3 linked regions of the Tamandua tetradactyla genome follow. The protein of the gene in region 2 interacts with the protein of the main gene of each other region in a biochemical or structural test. Links are inferred from orthologs where the notes say so. Each region holds a gene or a part of one and is shown on either strand. Other genes may lie near its edges.

Evidence for each region. The genes of interacting proteins can lie anywhere in the genome.
Region 1: the proteins of NRIP1 (region 2) and AHR form a complex in vitro, tested with the Homo sapiens proteins (2 studies listed by BioGRID). The link is inferred for Tamandua tetradactyla from reciprocal best matches to the Homo sapiens genes NRIP1 and AHR.
Region 3: the proteins of NRIP1 (region 2) and NR5A1 form a complex in vitro, tested with the Homo sapiens proteins (2 studies listed by BioGRID). The link is inferred for Tamandua tetradactyla from reciprocal best matches to the Homo sapiens genes NRIP1 and NR5A1.

What each region holds. Positions count from the first base shown.
Region 1 is NC_135327.1:106,847,396-106,854,318, forward strand, and holds the start of AHR (aryl hydrocarbon receptor), read right to left. Parts: upstream 3,016-6,923; 5' UTR 2,801-3,015; coding exon 2,736-2,800; intron 1-2,735. UniProt on the Homo sapiens protein: Ligand-activated transcription factor that enables cells to adapt to changing conditions by sensing compounds from the environment, diet, microbiome and cellular metabolism, and which plays important roles in development, immunity and cancer.
Region 2 is NC_135336.1:72,551,628-72,559,437, forward strand, and holds the start of NRIP1 (nuclear receptor-interacting protein 1), read right to left. Parts: upstream 3,007-7,810; 5' UTR 2,750-3,006; intron 2,732-2,749; exon of another isoform or gene 2,613-2,731; intron 2,358-2,612; coding exon of another isoform or gene 2,038-2,357; exon of another isoform or gene 2,010-2,037; intron 1,951-2,009; exon of another isoform or gene 1,783-1,950; intron 1,636-1,782; exon of another isoform or gene 1,210-1,635; intron 1,197-1,209; exon of another isoform or gene 1,096-1,196; intron 1,080-1,095; exon of another isoform or gene 1-1,079. Other genes in the region: uncharacterized protein LOC143648536, read left to right, coding at 2,038-2,357, 3,169-3,199. UniProt on the Homo sapiens protein: Modulates transcriptional activation by steroid receptors such as NR3C1, NR3C2 and ESR1. Also modulates transcriptional repression by nuclear hormone receptors.
Region 3 is NC_135328.1:46,602,849-46,610,608, reverse strand, and holds the start of NR5A1 (steroidogenic factor 1), read left to right. Parts: upstream 1-4,745; 5' UTR 4,746-4,868; exon of another isoform or gene 4,869-4,920; intron 4,921-6,318; exon of another isoform or gene 6,319-6,448; intron 6,449-7,760. UniProt on the Homo sapiens protein: Transcriptional activator. Essential for sexual differentiation and formation of the primary steroidogenic tissues. Binds to the Ad4 site found in the promoter region of steroidogenic P450 genes such as CYP11A, CYP11B and CYP21B.

The sequences.
Region 1 (6,923 bases), on a different chromosome or scaffold from region 2:
GAAATATGTCCTGAGTTAATATCACAGTAGAAAAGCTGGTTCTATTTATATTCAATAGTGGACTTCATGAAACAAAATAAACAATAAATAAATAACACCTTTATCTCCAAACTCAATAAAACAAGCAAGGTTATTAGTATTGGAATAATGTTCTACGGAAAGCTACAGGACAATCTATTACTGAGGTTCTCTTTGAAAATTTCTTTGTGAAGGCAGGAACATGAATCAGATGCTTTCTTCAACTTTGCTTCTGACCCTTCAATTCCCTAATTACCACTACTCCAAAGAGAAAAGAAACATTTATTGAATATCTACAACGTAAAAGATACTTTAATAGGATTAAATTAAACACACTTAAAATGTATTTCCTACTAATAAAGGTAATTGTCCATGTTAGACCTGCCACTAGGGGGAGTTTATTTTGTTTAATAAATTGAATTGAAGGCTGGAAGAGCTTCAGGATAAAATTATGTCTCTTACTCTATCCCCAAATTTTATGGAACTGTAAATTTAAATAACTGTTTTTCAACAGTCTTATAATTGTGCTAAACAACATATTTTCTATGCAAGAAAAGTAAAATGGTTATCACTTAAGGAGTCAAAGCTAAGAAGATCTGGAGAGTATTGTCAGCCGAACAAGATGGATTTTTTCTGTGGGAATGCTGACACGTTTTACACCCCATTAGCCACAAACTAATAATTTAACTAAAAAAATTACATTAAACTTAGGATTAGGTTTAATGGCCTCACTCCTAAATCAAAGTTCCCTTTGATTAACTCCATTATAAAGTTAACTTTTTCATCTAGGTAGAAGTTTGCAAACCATTTCACTTGAGCATGTAAATGCTAGCACTAGGCTTTCCTTAATAAATGATATTTTAAGGCATTCATATGATTAGAAGTAATGCATGATGTTCAGTAAAGATCTGACAGCCATCTATACTAACTAAATGAGGGTGAATGAGGAAAAATGCTTTAGTTATACTGAATTACAAGAAATTACTAAATAAGGTATAGTAAAGTCTTAGGAAGTATGTTAAATATTAGGAGATTATAATAAAGCGTCCATATTATACAAGTAAAAGGAAAAATTAATACAAAAGGAAAACTAATAAAATATTAACTATAAATTAATAACGTTGCCTTCCATAATGAATATAAAATTAAGGCATTTAATAACAATAATAATAAGCCAGGTGTGTCATTCTGTAACACACTGACTGAAATTCATATCTTAAAAATCCATCAGGGAGTCTGTCAGATTTTCTGATCACACACATAAAACTCATGATACTCTATTATATGATAAGCTAAGGATGGTATTATATTAGCAGCCTCATGGACAGGCATTTTGGATATTTCCAAACTTAATCATCAAGAACAAAGTTAAATTGGACAAATAATTTTACATAAGAAGCTATTTCACAAAATGCGCTGTTCTGTAACCCAGACAGTAACTGCTGACTCAGCAATATACCTAATGTCAGACACAGAGGATAAATAAGACTTTTGGATTTTAATCAGTCTATTTATAGACGGTCCAATATCCTTTGTTAATGCCAATTTCTTTGTCTAGATTTGAGGCACTAAGATCACAGAAAATCTAAGAGGAAATTAAAACTTTAGAATGATGAAATCTTCAACCAATAATTAGTTTCAAATGCAAATCTTAAACTGTTATTTCTCTATTGGCATTACCAACTAAAGTTTTAAACAAAATACATATTTTTGATGTACTGAACAGACGTTTAATGGGCTTTTAAAATAGTTTATAAAAAATTTTAAAATATAGATGAATTAAAGTAACTCAGATTATAATTAGGAATCGACACTGGAAACTGATAAAAGGAAATCTGTCGCAATTTTTTTTTAAACACTATTTTAAAGTACTTGCCATCTCATACAAATATGCCGCTTCCCATGACTCCCATCCAAGTCTGGAATCACTCTACTAGAATTGAAAAAGCTTGGAGGTAGGGAAGAAAGGGAACTAGAGGAAGGTACTAAGAATGAAAACGACTCTCTTAAATACAGCTCCATATATTTCACTTTACAGACTGCAAATGCACCTCACAAGTGATGGCAAAGCTTCCCAAAAACGTGACTACGAATTCAATTCCCCATTGCACCACTCACACCTGACACCAAACCTTACTACTCTCTTTACCTATCTATAGGCACGCTGGACGCTACAAAATGACAATCAAATAAATAAAACTGCTCAACAGAAACCCAGACGCTCTAGCCCCCTAAAATCAGCTTCAAAACGGCACGTTTTAAGCTCTTTAAAACTCCTCGCCCTACCCAGATGTCTGTCTTTTCCAAGATTGGGAATTATGACAGTCGTCTTCTCTAACCGATGCGGACATTAAAATAAGAAGAGGATTTCGAGCAGATTTATGCTAGCTAATCCACCAGCAGCACAGGGAAGGCCAGAGCTGTCCACAAATTGGGACCGCAGAAGGGAGAATAGAGCTGTGAAGGGGTGGGGTGTGGGTGGGCTCGGCACTGGTGTCAGAAGGGACAATTTCTTAACTTAATTAAAAATTTAAAAAGTCCGAGTCTCTCGACCGACCTTCAAATCTGGATTCTATCGGCTGTGTTGGAAATACCACCTAACGCCCGAAACGCGGGGGTGTGGGGGCGGGCCCCTCCCAGAGGTGCCAGCCGGACCCCACGCGCCTTCCAGCCCCCTCCACCCCCACTCCCCCGAGGATGCCGCCCCGAACACTCACGTTTTCTGCACCGGTTTTCGCCGCTTGCGACTGGCATAGGTGATGTTGGCGCTGTTGCCGTTCATGGTGCCCGGCCAGCGGCGGCCCTCCGACGTCCTTGCGCCCCGCGTTGCTCCGGGCGAGCCGGCCGCCCGCGCTGGATTCCGAGAAGACGCGCCGGCTCCACCTGCGTCCTCCCGCGCGGAAGCTGGGGCCTCGGCTCCCGCAGCCCCGGCGCTTCCAGGTGTGCGGCGGCTCCAGCAGCCCAGACCCTTCCAGGTGCGCCTCGGCTCCCGCAGCCCGGGCCCTTCTAGGTGCGCCGCGACTCCAGCAGCCCGGACCCTTCCAAGTGCGCCTCGGCTCCCGCAGCCCGGGAGCTTCCAGGTGAGCCGCGGCTCCCGCAGCCCAGGCCCTTCCAGGCGAGCCGCGGCTCCCACAGCCCCGGCCTTTCCAGGTGCCCCGCGGCTCCCGCAGCCCTGGCGCTTCCAGGTGCGCCGCGGCAGCGCGGGGCGCCCGGGCCTGGCGCGCGGGGCGAGGGGCGCAGGTGCCGCCTATACCGGCGTGGGCGGGGCGGCCGCAGGTGAGACAGCCCGGGCGCAGGAGGAGCCCGGGCCAGCTGCTTGGGTGCCTGGCCTGGGTCGTGCGCGGTGCCGCCGCGCCCCGTGACCGGCTCCGCGCCCCCGCGGGTGAGAACAGGCGCCGCCGCGCTGCTCCGGGGCTTCCCCGCCCGCGGAATCCGGCGCCAGCCGCCAGTCCCGGTGGTCACCAGCTTCCGCTCGGCCGCTCGGCTGCCCCTACCTTCAGCTCGCGGGTCTGGGCTCGCCGTCGGTACCAAGCGTCCAGCGCACTCTGCCCGCGCCGCTTCCAGTGGCGCGCGCTGGCAGGAGAGCAGAAGGCCTGAGACCCCTCACGGCCGCCGCCCCTCCCATCGCGGTCCCGCCCTGCCAGCCTCGACTCCTCCCTGTCAGGCTCTTTCCCTGGAGGGTCCCCACCCTCCTGAGCGTAATGACGTCAGACGCAATGACGCCCTTCAGTTGCCATTTTGGTGAGGTCAAGAAGAGGTTTCCTCTGTGGACCTATTTCCAGGTGGGGAAAGGGTGTGACAACAAGTTACGTGTAGCCAAGCTTTCTGTAGCTACACGATATCAAATAGTGAGTTTAACTTCACCTGTTTGAGAAAGAGTAACTTTTGACTGAGAATTACAGTGAATTGAAAGATAACCAGTAGGACTGCTTAAATTGTTCTACTTGGGAAGACTTTAGAAGGTCACTTCTGAGTTTAGACTTGAAGGCTAGGAATTTTTGCAGCAGGTTTTTTTTTTTTTTTTTTTTTTTTTTGTCGTCTTCGTTGTTTTTTTTTTTTTTTAACAATTTGTCTCCACACTTCTCAGTATAATATCAGGATAACTTATTCCAAGGTCAGGTTTCAGTAAGGTTAGTGGAAGAAAGGAAATGGGGAAGCACTTAGGGCAGGAAGTGTTGGGAATAAGTAGCAGTCTGTTCTAATTGGGACAGAGGGAGAGAGGAGCTGGGCATGCTGTTCAGAGATTTGGGGATTAATTCATAAAGCTTTGATGAAGAGTTTAAAATTTATTTTGTAGGCAATGGAATCTTTTAAAATATATTTAGCAAGGGATTGCATTCTGGTGTTTTAGAAAACTGCTCTGGGATGAAGATGAAAGCTGGATTATAAAGATTAGAATCAAAGAGAGTAGTTGGGTAGTTGTTGAAATAGTTGAAGTAAAAGTCCAGGCAAGTAGCAGGTGGGATGGAGAGAAGAGAAAAAACACAGATGAAGATAGAAAGGATAAAGAAATAGGGGGTAAGAGCGCACTCGAGGCTGGCATCCACAATTTCTGTAGGTGCTGCTAGCCAAGATAGTGGGCACAGAGAAGGGTATGCAGATTAGGATGCCTAAATGGCATCTCACATATCTATTCCTATAGTTCAAATGCCTTCAAGCCATTTCGACAAGTAAATTTGTAACCTCAAACTGAGTGCATCAAAAAATTGAAAGCATTTCTTTTAGCTAAAAGTATGGTTTGTAGCCATCCCCTAAGATTTTTGAAGTTTCCATAGGCAGTTTTTGGATAGTAATATGATTTTTTCTTATAATGAGTAATTTGCTTAAAAGACTTCATGAATATTTGACTGCCTTATCCAAAGCAACGCCATCCTTCTAATTAGTTTTGTGATTATTTTCTGAGGTTTCAGATACAGATTATGTTTGGGTTCCATTTTCCTGTTAGACTGAGAAAAAGAAGTAAATTTCAGGAATACTTTTATAGATAACAGTTGTTTTAGAATAAAGGGGGTAAAAAAGAATGTGAAACCTGTTTTATCACAGTACTTTGATTTCATTCAGCAAGGTGTCCAGTGCCAGATGCTGTGGGATACAATGGAAATATCAGAGATAACCCTCTCAGTGTTATATTCTAATCGGAGAAACTAGAATTGATCAAATAATACACAAATAAATGCGTAATTGCAATAATAATAAGTGTTGTACGAGCACGATAAGAATGTGTAATTGGGAGATATGACTTAGGGGAAGCTGCCTAGAAGAGGATTGAGCTGAGATCCGAAGCATAATGAGACATCTTGTGGGAGTAGTGGGCAGGGGAAGAGATTCATGCAATCAGGACGCTAAGTAGAATTTTCACTTCCTCTTCATTCCTGCAGCTCTTTATTCCAGGCCTTCAGAATTATCTTTTTTACTTATATTCTGTGGTGTATAACGTACTTTAGAGAGCATAACCCCATGCTTCCCAAACCGTACCCAGTGCCCTGGGAGTACCATCTTGGAATATTTTAAATTTTCAAGGGAAACTCAGTGATACTGAGCAACAATTGGATACCATGTAAACCCCTGGCAAGAGGTGGTTCACAGCTCCAACGTTAAATGGTTCCTCATTCCTCTCGATGAAATCATATCTAGATGGGCTGTTGTAACTAGCTGTGATAAAATGCAAGGACTGGAAAAATCAATGTGGGACAGAAAATGAAGATGTTGATTTCCAACCTGACTGCAGGGTTTTGGAAGATATGTAGTACCCATCAGACACACACATCCCGTTAAGACTAAAATAAAATATTGTTTTTTTAAAAGGGTACATATATTTCTTCAAATAGCCACTAAGTTATTAGGAGAAACATATGTAATCTTGAACTTAACTTGCACTTAAGTGCAATTGTTGAGTCTGATTTCTTTTAGTCTGTGACAACATGGAAGAATTACTGAGACACCAAACTGAGAAAGCTATAGAAATTTAGGCATAGCTAAACCTTTCATTTAACAGATGAGAAATGTCAGGCCCAGATGGGTGTAGTGGCCTGTGGATCACACCCAGAATAGAATCCAGTTCTTGTAAACTCCTGTTTCAATCTAAAATATATATCTTATCTCAGCTGGAACTATCTTATTTCTTTAAAATAATTTCATTTATTCATCACTTTTTTTTCTACTCTAGCACTGAAGAACAGACTAGGGGCTGTTTCTAAAGGCTATTTTTAAATGCATAATGCCTTCCTGAGTTACTTGACTAGTCTACAAAAATGTCCTACTCAAAAGAACCAAACAAGTAATTAACAGGTGTGAAGAACTTTGGAAATACCTTTTAGACTAATGTCAATGCTAAAACTGACAAGGAAACCTCAATAAAAAATAGGGATATTTTGTTACTAGTCAAAGTAAAATTTATCAAGGATAACACTTTGTCATAAGAAACATCAAGACTAACACATAAAAGAACACTCTATTAAAGTTAATACAATTTAGGCTTACTTAGATTTTGATTTTTGCTTTCTGGACTTTCTGTTCTTATAAATGTGAAATTTCATTAAGGGAAAGATTATGAAAAAAATGAAGCTAAAAGTCCTATCTCATTTATTAAACATTTTATTAAATAATTTATGTCTCTCATATATATATATGTCTTTTTTTATTTAAAGCCATGTAGCAATTGGGATAAATACAATTAGGATCTACATAACACTATATACATAAATTTTTTCACTTTAAATCATAAGCAGAATAAACTGTAATGAAGATTAAATGCATTTAGATTAAGGAAAAACTATTGAGAAAAAGAGAAAATTACGACTTTATAAGAAAAGCCTAAAGAAATGTAAATTTTTGTGAAACTCTGACCTAAAGTATGTAATTTAGATTTGCTAAACTTTAAAAGACTACATGATTTTATGCATATT
Region 2 (7,810 bases):
TAAGGCACTTTTTAGGGTTAAGTTGGGAACGAGCTCTTTTCCCACTAGAGTCTGAAATAGACCAGTGCAACCCTGGAGAGTACTGGCTGTCCCATTCCTCCTTCTCCTTTGTCTCTAGAAGCTAAGTCAAGGCAGAGAAAAGGTAGTATTGGTGATGAAGTCACTGCTCTGTGTACCATTTAAACCTTACTTAGGTTACTAAACTTCCCAGCAAAACCAGAGAAAACTTACTTGGAAGTTGAAAAACATTTCAACACACTTTAGGCAGCCAAACCACACTGAAGTGCCGAGCAGATGAAGCACTATTTGTTTTAAAAGTCCACTTTATTTCTCTGTCTTTTCAACAAAGGTGGCAAAATGATGATTAAATATTAAATAATCTCATCAGAAAGATGCTACCGACTTGCTGAATCTATGATTCACTAATATGCAAGTTCAACGCAATTCATAACTTTAAGAATTCTTGATGAATGAATTACCAGAGCCCCTTGCATCACAAATTCCACAAGACATGTAAAGAACCGACATCATATATATAACCCGACAACCATATTTACTTGGGACACTTACAAAAGGTCTCCTTCTAAGGAAAATATTTCCCCCATAACCTCATGTTTAAACACCTACATTACCGGAGACAAAATACAGCTCAGTTCTACTAACTGAATTGAGTTATTGTACGTAGGAACGTCTTTATTCCCCACCACCACGAAAAAAAAGTCCCATAAAAAAATTTTTAAGTGCATATCATTCTGTTCTTTTACAAGCTTCAGAACCCAATTAAATTACCAACGTGATAAAAGATAGAAACTCCGGTAACGCTTCAGAGATCAACATGTGTCACACACTCCCAGTTTGTTCGTCTCTAAGACACAGTTGATTCCTTTGTTCCTTCAGACTGAACACCAACTCCTGATTAAAATTTGGAAACTACTTTGGAAAGGATGGGCGGGTGTGCAAAGTATTTCCAAGGAAACCCTTCATAAAACAACACTCATTAATAGGAGGAACACAAGGAAAGAGAAAAGGAGCTTCCCATATCCTCCCAAGCCCTCTAAGGGCTCACTCTATATGTGAACCCGGTTCTTGACTCACAAGTAAAATGATGGTTGAGGCCTGGTGTCCAAAGAGCCCTGGGCGGACGGAAAAGTAACGGGGACCGGGCCTGGGAGACGAAAGGGGCCAAGAGCTGTCCCTCTTCCTATTCACTTTTCGTGGCCCGGAATCTGGCGAGCACAGCTCAGGGAGGCACCAGGGCGAGAAGCGGGAGCTGTGCCCGGCGCCGCCCAGGGAGCCGCGGGGCAGCAGGACGAACAGCGGCGCGGCCAGAAGCGCCGGACACTCGTGGCCGAAGGGGCAACTGAGGGGAATACGACCCCGTCCGGGCGACCCGGCCACCCCGGCCCGTCACGGCGTGGGCGACACTCTGCCGCCCCCCCACGCCCGGCCCCGACCCAGGGCCAGTTTGGACGGGCTAGCGAACCCGGGTCCAACTCCCTAACTTGCCCGCCCTCGCTGCCCTGCCCCCCGAGTTCCCAGGGAGATTCGAGCCCCAAAAAGAGGCGGGATTTCCCCGGAAACAATTCCTCCTTGCCGCCAAGCCCACGTCGCGCCCGGAGTTCGCTCCAGCCGCCGGCCGCCCGCCGCCAGCCCTCGACGCCCCCGCGGCCCTACCGGGCCAGCGCCGCCGCCGCCGCCGCCGCCGCGGGCCGCGCTCCGAAGCCGTTTCCGGCGGCGCCGGTGGCGGCTCCTCTGAGCTCCCGGGCCGCAGTCGCCACTCACCCGAAGCCGCCACGGCTCCGTTAGGCTCACTCCACGAAGGCTCCCCGCCTCCCCGTCCTCCCTTCGCACCCCACCGAGCTCTTCCGTCCGACCAGCAGGGCTGCGGAGCACAGCGGCGGACGCAAGGCCACGGACGGGCGCGCGCGAGGGCGTGGGGCCGGGTGGTCCCTCCGCCTCGACCGCCGCCGCCTCCTCCGCCGCCGCCTCCTCCGCCGCCGCCGCCTCGCAGCCTCCCGAGTTCGGGGCTCTGCTGCAATGTCTGCGAGGCTGACTTTGAGCGCCTCGCTCGCTGCCCGCCCGCTCGCAACCGCGCTCCTCCCTCCGCCGCCGAGTCCGCCGTGGCCCAGTCCCTCCCCTCGCCGCTCCACGCCATTCAGCTCTTCAGCCAAGTTTCTTAACCCTTTTTTTCCCCTCCCTCCCATTGTCACCGGGGCAGAAGCTTGCCGCCCAGGTCCAGGCAGCTCGCAGGATCTTAGGAACCCCTCTGTTTTGTTTTCTTTTCTCCCGTCTTATGGATGGCCGAGCCGGGGCTCCAGAGCCGGGAGACAGCGGGAGGATCGCGTCTGCCGGAAGAGGTGGGTGCTCTGCGCGCCCGAGTCGGCCCCCTGGGCGCACGACCCTGTCCAGCCACCCCCGACCGCCACAGTAGTCTGGACAGCTCCTCGCCGGGGCCTGGGGTATCGTTCTCGTTACACTGGCCAGATGGTTCACGTTTGGGGCACAGCCTGGGTGCCAGGGCTGCTGGCGCCTTATGGTTCTCTCTCCTCCCATTTCACCCACAACACGCGTTCCCTTGGCTCCCTTTCACCCACCCTCCAACTTCCACCTACTTGTAATTTGTGTGTCCTGCCTTCATCTTGTGGGACACGAGCACTAACTCTGGATCACTTTGACCCCACTCCCAAGATATAAGAGGCACCCAAAAATAAATGTGGAGTGACTCCGATAGAAAAACTAGGAAGAAGACCTGAGGAGTATCCTTTCAGCTCCCTGGACGGACGTAGGACCCAGAAGCAGGGCTTATCTTCAGCTGCTTTGTCACTATGTAGTCTCCAACAGAGTCTGTCAGCGAATCTACATCATCCCCGGAAAGGATTTGACCCATAAGACAAGGCAAAAGAAATAGGGCTGCCACTTCTTCTGCAGCTCTCTTCTGTTCAGTCTCCGAATAAGAAATAACAATTACATCACAAGGCCGGGGCGGCAGCGCTGTGAAGCCTCTGGGTTTCCTGCAGACTAATCTCGCTGAACCCGCCTCTAAATTGGGGGTGGGAGGAAAGGAGGTGGGGGGAGGGGGGTGTTAGACTGGTGAAGCGAAAAAGTGAAGGAAGGAGTGTCATGTATAAAACCATAATTTCTTCTTTTCCTTGTATTTTCTGTTTTCAGATCTTATCCTCAACGCTCCGCAAACATCTAACTATAACTATTAACACCCCCTCAACACCTCCCCAGATGTCAGGTTTCTTTTTGACTCTAGCATTTAGTAACTTGCCATGAAAATATTCTCAGGGGAAATGAGTGCCGTTACTGAAATTATTTTTCCTTGACACAAAAATGCTGAAGTACAGCTTAGCCTCACCCTAAAACTCCCAAATGGTATATGCCTGTATTAAAACACTTCTTAAACAAAACAAGTAAGTGGATGAAGCACTAAACTCTTAAATGTAGGTGTTCACATCCTTAGGAATTGATAGCATTTGAAAGCAGAGTTGCTAGCGCACTTAGAAAAAAAAAACCTATCCAAGTCATAAATCAGTATTCTATGCCTGTTATGTAATGGCTGCATTGTACAATTAAAATTTCCTTTAACATTTAAAGCTGTGAATGAGAGTTTGAAAATACCTTCACGATCTTGAAATCAAAACTAATTTTTAAAATTAATGCTTATTGAACCCGACAGCTACCACAGTGCCCAACACATAGTAGGAATGTTTTGCTCGATGGTAATGGGGCTTTTTAGAACAATAATTTTACATGACCCAGGTAATTCAACCACAAAATCCTTTGCCATCTTATACAGTTTAAAACTCATGTAATAGCTTATTATTTGCATTTGCCACAGTTCAGAATCTGCTCAAAGTAATTTACTTTAAAAGTCTGTTGTTCTATAAGACATTATTTATACAAGATTAATGCCAAATAGACTGTTGTAGTAAGTAATGATCAGCAAAATTGGAACTTGGCCCTTTAAGAGAGCAAACTTCTTTAAAAAAAATTTTATTTAATTGTTATATAAAGATTTTCTAAAATGCGTTGTGCTTATTTTTGCTTTCTTAAGGAGTTTATTGGATTTGATTTGGCATTTTCTTGAAAATCCAGGTTATATTAAAATTAATTATTGTAGATGGTAGTGGGCTTCACAAATACATCATGTTTCTTTTCTATATTAGGCTTCTTCCTAGCAGATAATGGTCCCAGGAACTAAAAAGTATATAAGGCACCAACTCCTGCACTGAAGGTCTCTAGAATTCTATGGCTCAGTAATTATATCTGCCTTTTGTAGTTTCTCTCTCTCCTCCATTCACTAACTGACAATCTGTTGTCCTTTCTGTTGCCAGCGTGTTGGCCTCTAACATTCCTCTCCTCTCCTGATTGGCAGCTTTTAGTCTGGTGCAAACTGAGGATACCGATAGCCTCACTGTCACAATTCTGTTTAAAGTCAAACTAAATAGGTTCTGCATAAGTGACTAATGTACTCAGTGTGTAAGGCACTGAGTACATTGTGAGTAGGGCACATTCACTTTAGCTCATGGACTTTGGGACAGGTGTTTGGACATCTCAAACGTTGCTTTTGAAAACAGTTATTTTGCTCCTAAAGAGTTTTAGATCATTGGGATTGTATGACTTCTTAATAAGCGAGGGTACACAATTAACTCAACAAGCCAAGTATTAATCCTGTCCTCTAATACGAGTTAAAAACCACTACCAAATGCTAGACGACTTAACAAAGGGGGTGCAGAAGTTGCTCACCTCTTGTTATTAATCTTTTTTCTCAACCCCAACAGAAATCCAATCATTAAAATCCTGAACTCTATTTGATCATGCATTAGTGTTAAGTAAATTGCACACCTTTTGTGAAATTCATTTTTATTTAATCATGCCAGTTGTGTTAGGGCTATTTTGTTGTTCTTTAAAAAAAAATCAGTATCTAAATTTGCTGGCTTAGAGGGTCATCAGAGGGATACTAGGGCATGTATATGTGTACAACATAGGAATGCCTATTCAGTAATTTGTGTTTTTTGGCATGGGCAGGTTCCGGGAATTGAACCTGGGTCTCCAGCATAGCAGGCGAGAGTTATGCCACTGAGCCACCATTGCACCACCCAGTTATTTGTATTTTGAAGCCAATTCTCATATTAATAAATTGTGATGTATAAAAGATGCCTTGCCATTTATATACTTAAACACAGAAGTATTTTTATAAATCCTTTGGGATCCAACATATAAAGTTCAGGCTCAATTTGCCTACCCACCACAAAGATGTAGTCTGGGTAAGGTATGACTCTGAAGTGCTTCCTAAATCTCTCCTGTTATAGCACTTATCACACACAGTGTGTAATTGGGTGTTTATTTGTCTGTATCTCACTCTAGAATGCAAGCAGTATAGGTGTAAGGTCCATATCCCTCTCATACTACCACCACCTGTCACTATGCTGGGCAAACAATAGGCATTCAGAAAATACTGTTCAAGATCTTTTGTAGCCCAGAGGGCAGTGTTTAATTCTACTTGGAATATGGGTGTAGGGCTAGGGCATTCAAGTAAATTTTATAGAGAAATAATGCTTCTGTTGGAGATTAAAAAGATAGGAAGAATTTGCCAATTAGTCTAAGGGGAATGGGGATTCTCAGGAGAAGAAGTAGGTTGTTTAGCAATAACCCTGAGAATTTTTTAACCCATATCATACACTATGGAATAAAGTATGATACCATAGGAAAAATACATATAAATGTAACTAGATAATATACGGGTGGAACACTGGTGTAATTATGCTATAGTTAAAGTGCCTTAGCCTTTAGAGCACTGCTGCCCAGTAAAATAATACAAGCCACTAATATGAGCTATGTATGTATGGTAGCCATATTTTAAAAATTGAAAACAAACCAATAAAGTTTATTTTACTAATGTACTCTATGTACCGAGTGTAACCAAAATAGTATCATTTAATGTGTAATCAACATAAATATTAGATATTTTACAACCTTTTCATACTGTCTTCTACCATCTTTTGTATTGAGTAAAAATCCAATGTGTATTTTACACTCACAGCACACATCAATTTGTACTAGCCATTCAAATGCTCAATAGCCACATGTGGCTAGTGGCTATCTTTTGGACAGTGCAGCTCCAGAGAACTTGTGAAATCTTTAACTAGGTACAGTGAAAGAAAATTTTCTCTTGTTAAGTTTTAGATTTTTGTGTGTGCCCATTACTGGTGTTTTTGCTACTTTATGAAGACCATTTTCTTGTGCCTGGGCTTTTATGCCAGTTAGACAGTCAGCAAGGTTTACATTTTATGCACTGTATCTTTATTAATCGTACTGTAGTCACAACTCCTACCTCTATTAACTATGGATTGTAAATGTAAACTGATTTTACAGAAAAAATAAGAAGCTTTACATTTTAGGTTGAATAAGCTTTAAAAAGTCTTTCTTAGAACATAGAACTACCTCTTTGCTGGTTACTATCAAACATCTCCCTAGCTTTAGAAAGCTAGGGTTTTTCTCTTTAACTGTTCCATGTCTTTATTTGGGGATGACAAAATCCACCCCAGCCTTTGTTCGAGGCAGCCACCTACTTCAAGATGCAGTGAAGATGTGCTGCAGCCTCCTGAGCATTTAGGGAGGTCTAAAGAGCAAAAATGAAGATATTTTGACACTCTGCAGCTTACTGTGCAGCTTTCCCTTTTTATTTTAATTTGGGCCTTAGTGCCAACTAATGAGAGTGGAGGCCTTTTTATTTTAGGTTAGGCCTTAGTGCCAAGGATTGACAATAGCAGAGTGCTCAATTTCTATGCTAAAATGAATCCTGAAAACTAAGGTTAAGTTTAAAAGAAAAAAAATCGTAAATGATTGCAAAAAAAGCAGTTGAAACTGCAAGGGAACAACAGATACTTCAATGAAATGCAAATATGGATGTTACCTTCTCATTTCCCAAATTAAGAAAATGTCTAGTATAGTCAAGAGGTCCAAAAAGCCAAGAAATCCCAAGGAAGTTAAGGAAAACCTTTGATAATGTATCAGTTTTAATATGTCTTAGCAATTGAAAGTAAATATGTGGAACCTATCCTTTTTATACAGAAATGGGATTAAGTAGATATCATTAAGTAGTTCTGTCATAAATGAATGCAAAAGTTTTTCCTCAGGACTTCACAAACACACATCCATATAACTAATCAATTAGATAAAAATATGAGCCTATTAATTATTAGAGGTTTTATTCGAATAGCTTTCAACTAGAGCAAAATACATATTTGTTTTCTCAAATTAATTAGGGTTTCTGTAGTGAATGTGATGTATGTTTACTAATTGTTTTACTCTTTCAAACGAAATAGACATTAGATTAAAGGTAAGACATATTTGTTTTAGATTTTACTATTTGGCTTAAGAAACAGAAAATAGCTATATAGTTTATCTTTGCACGAAACCAAATCAAAATTATCACCCCAACACTACCCACCCCCACTACCACGCCCAACACACACACACTCACACAACCTAAGATTTCAAACAATTCAGCGGGGAAGAATCATCCGTTCAACCAATGATGCTTGGACAGCTAGATATCCACATGAGAAGAAATAAATCTGACGCTCCAGACAATATGACGAGCAGTCTCACCACCCTCCCCCTCTCTGCGTGGGACATGACTCCCAAGGGTGTGGACCTTCCTGGCAACGTGGGACAAAGATCCTGGAATGAGCTGACACTCAGCATCAAAGGACTGAGAAAAACCCTAGAATGAGCTGAGAATTAACATCAAGGAATTGAGAGAAACTTCTCGACCAAAAGGGGGAAGAGTAAAATGAGA
Region 3 (7,760 bases), on a different chromosome or scaffold from region 2:
AAACCCAGCATGGGCAACATCTAAGCCGTGTCCAAGGTTAGCCAAAGTAAAGTGAGCACTGGCCTCCCAGCTGGGCAGGCAGTTGAACATGGTTCCAAGACTTTAGCTCTGGACCCTGGTCTATATATTTTTGTTGTTGTTGTTGTTTAAAGTTTTATAATTGTTTTAAGAAATCCAGTCTTTTCAGACTTGCCCTTTTATTACACTTTGAATTTTCTTTATTGATTTTTTTAAAAGGAAAAATACAAAAAAAAAAAACACTACTCTTACTCCCCCCCACAAGATTCTCCCCACAAGAGTCTCCCCGCACTCCCTTCTGCCTTTGCAGTTTATCGTTCCTCCCTTTTTTTCTCTGCTTGAAGCATCTATGTCCAGTGTGTGATATGATGTTTTATCTGTGTCTCAGGATGAGAAACGGCAATCATTCCACCAGATGCTAGAAACTGGTTAGCCTTGAAGCAAGGGTTTCTAGGGCCACAGCTCAGGGATGTGTATTTAATTACAGGGTCCCCAGAAATCCCCTCTCGGCTGCCACAGGCAACAGCTTCTTTTCTGGGCTTGGGAGCCAGACCTGGTTTTCTTCAGAGGCAGGAGCCCCCTCCTCTGGCCAGAGAGCCTGCTGGGACTTCCTGTCTGGCCAGACCTGGGGACTTGGAGACTTTAAGACTTCTAGCTATCCCACAACAAGAGCCATGGTAGCCCTGCCTCTACCAGCTCATAAGAAGCCTGGTTCCTCTAATCAGTCCACTTTCCACCTGGCCTCCCTTTTCAAGCCTGCAGCCTAAATGGGCCATGGCCTGCTCAGGAACCCACCGTGGGCCTAAAAGGGAAGCTGTGACTCAGGCCAGAGCCTGCTGCAAGCCCAAGAAAAAAGTTGAATTAATGGTGGAGGCTAGTCTTCCAAATCCTGGAGCCAGTCCTACCAACCAAAGGATCATCTTTGTCTTTTGGTGACTATTGTTTTCTTACTCTGAAATGTCTTGTATTAGGTGATAATGTTGAACTCAAATTTCCATGAAAAAAAACTACCTCTTGAGTAACATCCTGGTCGATTCTTCTCTGAAGAATTCTGTGGGAAAAGAACACTGTAACTCCTGTTCTGTTTACATGTTTCTGTCGGGAAAGAAAGCCTGCCTGCCCTGGGGTGCTGGTGTTTTTGTCTGTGTTGCCATCCCAGGTCTGCGATAGGGCCTTGTGGCTGCATTGTAATGTCTGGGCCATGTCTGGGGAGTCCTTCCCACCTGCCAACCAGGGACTAGCCACTCCCTTGAAAAGGCCTCCATTTTCTTCCTGTGTTCCATGGCATAGGGAACACCACCTCCCACAAACTCCATCCTTGGGGGATCTGGTGGCACATGCATCCACGAGCCTGCCCCTGGGCTTCTCCAGGCTTGCCTCTACCCACAGTCCTGTGTAGGAATCGAGTAAATGGGATGTCTCTGAGCCCTTGTCCCCAAAGGGCTGGCCAAGGGCTGCCCCAGCCTGGCTCCATCAACCATGCATAACTAAATGATAGTTGGTGGGCTCTGTGGGCTACCCAGGCCCTCTGCTACCTCCCACCCTGCCAGCTGGCAAGGGATGGGCCCTGTTCTGTGAATTGACTACCTGTGGAAATGTGACCAATTAGTATAAATGCATGTTTAGAAGTGTTAGGTACTGTATTTGAACCAATAAATGTGAATCCTTCTACACATGGCATCTGTCTTATCTAAGGTTCTGGGGAGGGATGATGGGGTATCCCAAGCAATTAGCTCATACCTTCAGACCTACGGCTCCTCTTAGAGATGAAACCTACCACAATCCTTATTGCTGAGGGTTTGGCAGAAGGGATGCCTCTCTAAGAACTTCTTAAATCAATGAACTAGCACTGACTGTGTACCAGGCCCAGTGCTAGAATTTTTCACAGATCTGAACCTCTTTGAATCTCTAGAATTACTAACTATTCTATAAGTGAAGAAATGAGGTCAAGAGGTGGAGGGACTCTCCCATGGTAACCCAGCCAGAAAGTGGCACAGCTAGAGGAACTGAGTCTACTGGGAGAGGCAAACCCAGACCTATGCAGTACAGTGGAATCGGGGTTGCAGTTAGGGATGTATGTGGGTTGTAGGACCTGGAGGAGAGAGTGCATTGTTCTACTCAGGATAGTCAAGAAGGGTTTCACAGATGAATATTATTGAAGGTGAGCCTAGAAGAAAGTAACCAGACAAAAAGGGAAAGGTAAGGCAGGTAAAGGAACCAACAATATATGCAAAGGTCCAGTTGTAAGTAAAAAATATATGGAGTATTCAGGGTAGTTCAGTGGTAGAATGCTCGCCTTCCATGCGGGAGACCCTGGTTCAATTCCCTGGCCATGCACCCCCAGCCCCCAAGAATATATACATATATGGAGCAATCAGATATAGCAAGGGACTGCAGCAGCAAGAGTGGTAACAGAATGTGGGGATTAGTGCGTATCAAGCAAATTGAAGCTTCAAATGCCACATTCAGGGGTTTAGGGAAAAAACCATCTGCTAAGTCTCAGGAAAGAGCTGCACACATCAGTGACAGCAGTCCAGCAGATTAATAGTTATCTTTCTACAAAAAGGATGGCGTTTATTAATACTTTTTCTATGGCTGAAATCATAAAGGCTCTGAGAGGTTAAGGGACTTGCCCAAAGTCACACAGAAAGTGGCACAGTTAGGACTTGAACCCAGATCTTCCCAACATTCCTGTAACCCTGCTGCTCATGTGATCAGACAAGGGGCAGACTAGGGATGAGAATTGTGTGAAGACAGATGGGAAAGATGAAGGCTTCTCAGTCTGGGAAGATAAGTATGAAGAGAGTATGATCAAAGTGTATTAAACCATGTGGAATGAGGGGAAGCCCAGCTGCCTTCCCAAACCTCAGCCTCTAGCACAAAGGAGTCAGAGAGCCCTTGAGGTTTGAAAGCGATAGTTTTAAGACAAAGAAAACACTGCAGAATTATTAATAGACTCTTCCTTGCCCCACAAAAAGTAAACATAAGACACAGAGGTACAAGGAGAGGGGGGAACACATTTGCTGAGTGCCTATAAAGTACCAGGCACCATGGTTAGTGCTTTATGTGCATTATCTCATGTAATCCTCATAACCTTGCAAGGGTTAGGTCTTAGCCCCATTTTATTCATAAACAAATTGAGGCTTGAGGAAGTTAAGCCATTTGCCAAAAATGACACATGACTAAATGGCAGAATTGACTTTTGAATCCAGGTCTATCTGATAGCAAAGTTACAACAAGGCAGCCTCCCTGCTCAGCCTTAGCAATTCAGTAGTGCTGAATATGGACGTCTGGAGTTTGTAACAAAGCTCAGTAATGGCCTTTGGTTGAACTTTTTGCTATTAAGCAAAACTCTATTAAACTAACGAAAGATTAATTTCTGTAAGGGGTAGATGCACAGACCCAACCAAATTGAGCTGAAAAGCAGTGCTGTCCCAAATATATGACTTCTCAGAACATACACCAAAAGGTGGCTCCATGGAAAAATAAGTAGGAGTTCTATTGGCAAAATTTGGGGAAATACTTCACTTGCTCTTCTTTTTTTTGACCATTTTTTAAACTTTTTATTGAAGTATAATACCCACAAGGAAAAGTAAACAAACCATGAGTGTTCAGCTCAACTTTATCTTCTGCTCATTGACTCTCAACTTTCATTGGTACATAGTAAGGGCTCTGAGAGGTCCTAACTGAAAAAAACTGATTTTGTTTAACCCAAGGTCTACCAAAAACATTTTTTGAGCATGAAACATTTTTCCCCTAGCATAGCTGTGAAAATTCTATTGGGACAATATTCCATGGAATCTTAATGTATAAATTTCTACTTAACTAACACTGAGTTTTTGGTTCCCTCAAGTGCCAGGCAATAATCTAGAAGAAATGAATAATAAAGTAATTAATACAGAGTGAGCTAAGCAAAGCAATGGGCTGAGCATTTCAAGTGCATTAGATTACTGATTTTTTAAGGTAAGCCAATGAAGTTGGTGCTATAATGATCCCATTTTGCAGATGAGAAAACTGAGGCGCACAAAGGTTAAGCAACTTGCCTAAGGCTACATAGCTAGTGTGACCTCAGGAATGAGTATAAATTGGCACTGATCACCTACTATTTGGCAGGATATGTGCAAAGATCTTTATCCTTGTGCAATCCCTGTGAGGCAAATTAAGATCATCTCTGTAAATGAAGAAGCAGCAGGGTGTGCTGGCAGCTCTGGGTTATGCCAGAGATTGAACAAAAAAAAAAAAAAGAAAACCAGAAGTGATGGCAGGGGAGAGTGTTGGAATGAGGTTGGGGGTTGGGTGTGGTTCTATGGAGCCCTCTCCCAGGGATCACTTCCCTCGGACAACTCATGTGACAGCAGGCACATCTATCAGGGGTCTTACCACCTGAGTTCTAATCCCAGCTTTTCCCCCATACTAGTTACACATGACCTGGATCCAGTGGATACTTCTCTGAGCCACTTTCCCTATTAGATAAATAGAGAGGCCAGTACCTATGTCTCAGGGGTTTAAGGAGGATTGGCCATGGCTGGCTCAAAGTAGGAGCTTAATGAAGTCAATTCATAAGAGGAAGCTGTGTGAGGGGAGCTGCAGCCCCTCACCCCAAAAGCAGAAATCCAGCAGAGTTTGACCTGCCGTTAGCCTGGTTGCCTATTAGGGTTCTAGGTCCACAGTGTTGGTAATCAGCCTCTCTGGGCTGTGGCTAAAGTGCCCAACTGCCAGACCCAGGGCTCTTGGAGTTTTGTTCCCTTGGCAACAAGTCTCACCATGGAGACCAAAGTCCCATCCTTGCCCTCCCTGGAAACTCCCTCTCCACAGACCTCCCCTGCTCAACACCTAGTCCTAGGAACAGTGTAGGTACTGAGGAAAGCTACAAGGACCCTTCCTCAGGGTGAGGAGTTTGAGGTACAATCTAGCAAAAGAGGCAAAGGGAACTCCCAATTTCTGAATGTCTACTTTATGCCTGGCAAGGGTCTGAGGAGCCTATATAGGTGGTCTTATTTAGGTTGGAAGCCAAGCCCTCATCCTATCTTACATAAATGGAAACTGAGGCTCAGGAAGGCAGCATGGACCATCTCAGTTACACAGCTGATCATTATTGGAGCTGAGATTTTAATCTAAGGCTTCTAACTCCATGAACTGCTTTCCCTACAATGCCCCCTCTCCCACCCGTACTGCCAACACACAGCCTTCAGCCTCAATCTGGGGAAGAACTGCATAGTTGGGTGCGTCCCCCTCCATCCCAGGCCACGGTTGGCAGTATAAGCAGCAGCCAGCAGCCAGCAGCCCTTTGAGAGCTGGGCCGGGCCCAGCAGCAACAGCGGAGGAACTGCACTATTTTAAGCCAGGGCCAGAGGGCCCCATGTGGGTACAGGGAGGGTGGCCTCGGGCCCTTGGCTAGCTTCCCGGAAGTCACTGTGGCCTCCCTCCTCTCCCCTGAGCAGCTTTCTGAGGCAGTCACTTCCCTACAAACAGGAAGGAGGCCCTCAGGCCTGGAGACCTCCAGTTCCAGCTTCTTCCTCCTACCCCTCAGTCTTCTCCTCAATACCAGGGAGCCCACCAGCTCCAGGCTCTGATCAATGTCCGGTATCTGGACTGACTCTTAGCAGGTGGGTGGGAAGGGGGCCTGCACTGCTAGGGCTGCCTAGGGCACCAATTACAAGTTAAGACCTCCATTTGCCCAGGCCCTCCCCCATGCCCACCCCAAGACTGATTTCTCATATGTTCCCACTGAGGCTAGCTACTATGAGCCAAAAAGAAGAGCAGTGATACCCCCGGATTTAATCCCCCTTAAGGGCCCCAGAGAGAGACAGAGCAAAGAGAGACAGACTGGGAGACTGAAACAAGCTGAAAGAAATAGACATTCCAAAAGATAGATTGGGGCAAAACAATGACAGACATAGATTCATGGGGTCAGATAAAACTGGAGAGATGCTCAGAGATAAAAAGGAAAGAAAGACAAGACCCCAGAGATGGCTGCAGAGGGCTGGGACCTGGGGTGGGGGGTGGGGCTCTGAATGACGGCTCCTGCACACCCCCCAAGCACAGGCTCTGTCTCATGTCTGTGGGGGGCCCACCGGCTGCGTGGTTGAAGAGGAATGTGGGGAGCAAGGCTGGGTCACCCCTTGAGGGCCAAGCGTGTGCACGGTGAGATAAGCTACCCTAGGAAGGGAGCCCCAGCTGTGGCTGCACACTCCGGGAGCATGGCGGAGAGTCCCAATCCCAAGGCTGCAGCCCCAGCACTGCCTGACATGCAGCTCCTGCAGTTCTTGCTGAGGATCTCCACCAGGCCTCTTATTCCAGGGGGTCCCGGGTCCCTTGGCCCAGCCCTCAGAAGCATGCAGATTGTGAGAGTATCATGTTCACAGAGGAGGAGGGTGGCCACTGGAAACCCTGCCAGCTGCAAAGAGCTCTAACTGCAACCCTGGTTCAGGTGAGAGGGCCATAGAGCTGATCATGCAGAACAGAGGCTCCAGCAGGCTGTGGGGTGCAGAGGGGGTGCAGTGATGGAGCACTATCTGTGAGTTGTCCCCGCCTGGCTTTGTGCACTCATATGCACTCGTGTGTGTCTTGGGCATGTGTCCATGTGCTTCCTCTCATGTGGGGCTGTACAAAGATGTATGTGTCCATTTGTTGCCAGGAGTTCCACTCTGCCTCCCCCAAGTCTCTACTCTCTGTCTGGAGAAGTGGCTCCCAGAGGCACCTGGTCTTCCCCACCCCCACCAGGTGGTCCAGCCAGAGAGCCAAAAGGTGGAGGGGGAAGACTGAGCAGGTCCATTGCAGGCCCCTGGCCCCCCTCCCCACACTGCAGCTGAGGCTCCCGCGGCCACGGCCTTGACCCGGCACTATGGACTTCTCTGACATTGGCATCGGATCTGAACATCTGGCAGCAGGCTGATAAGGGGTACAGCGGAAACAGCCTCTGCTGCTGCCAGCAGGCCCACCCCCTCCTCTGCCCGGCACAGGGTCTCCACACTCCCTCTGCTTCCAGCTCTCTGGACCCCTACCCCTTTCTCTTTTTTCATTTTCTGCCTCAGTGTCTCTCTCTCTCTCGCTCTCTCTCTCTCCTTCTCTTTCCCAGGCTCTGAACATCTCTGGGTCTCTTTTGCTGTCAGTGCAGTTTCCTTTTCTCATTTTCTGGCTTCTTTCTTTTTCAGTCTATCTCCTTTCTACACTGTACCTCAACCCATTTCTCCCCTCTCTTTCAGTTTCTTGGTCTCAGGTTTGTTTGTTCCTTGTTCTACCTCCAGGAAATAGGCCTGGCACGTTGGGAAAGTCCCCACTTAGGAAAGAGACCCTGGGCTTTGTTTTCCTGGGGAGGGAGGCAGGCGGGAAGCCTCGGTCAGGACTACATCCCTTTTCCTCCTCCTCCCGGGGGTCTTGTGGCCCGGGACCACCTGGGCTGGAGCTTGAAAGAGAGGGCAAATAGGCCACCCAGGGGCTCTTAGAGAGCCAGGAGCACTCAGAGTCTGCAAGTCTAGGCTCTGGACTCCACTGTGTGGATTTGAATCCTGTTCCCACCACTCCCCTGCTTTGTGACTCTGGGTCGCAGCCTCATCTCTCTGGGGCCAAGTTGCCTCATCTCTCAAATGTTACTTTGGGAGGTGAAGGGAAAACTACTTACCTCCTAGGATGATGGAGAGGGCTCAAGATTGACCACAGGTGTAGAGTGGTTAGTAGCAGCCCTGGCCCATAGGAGGCAATTTTGTATTAGGGCCTTGCCATTCCCTGCATCTGGCAACCCC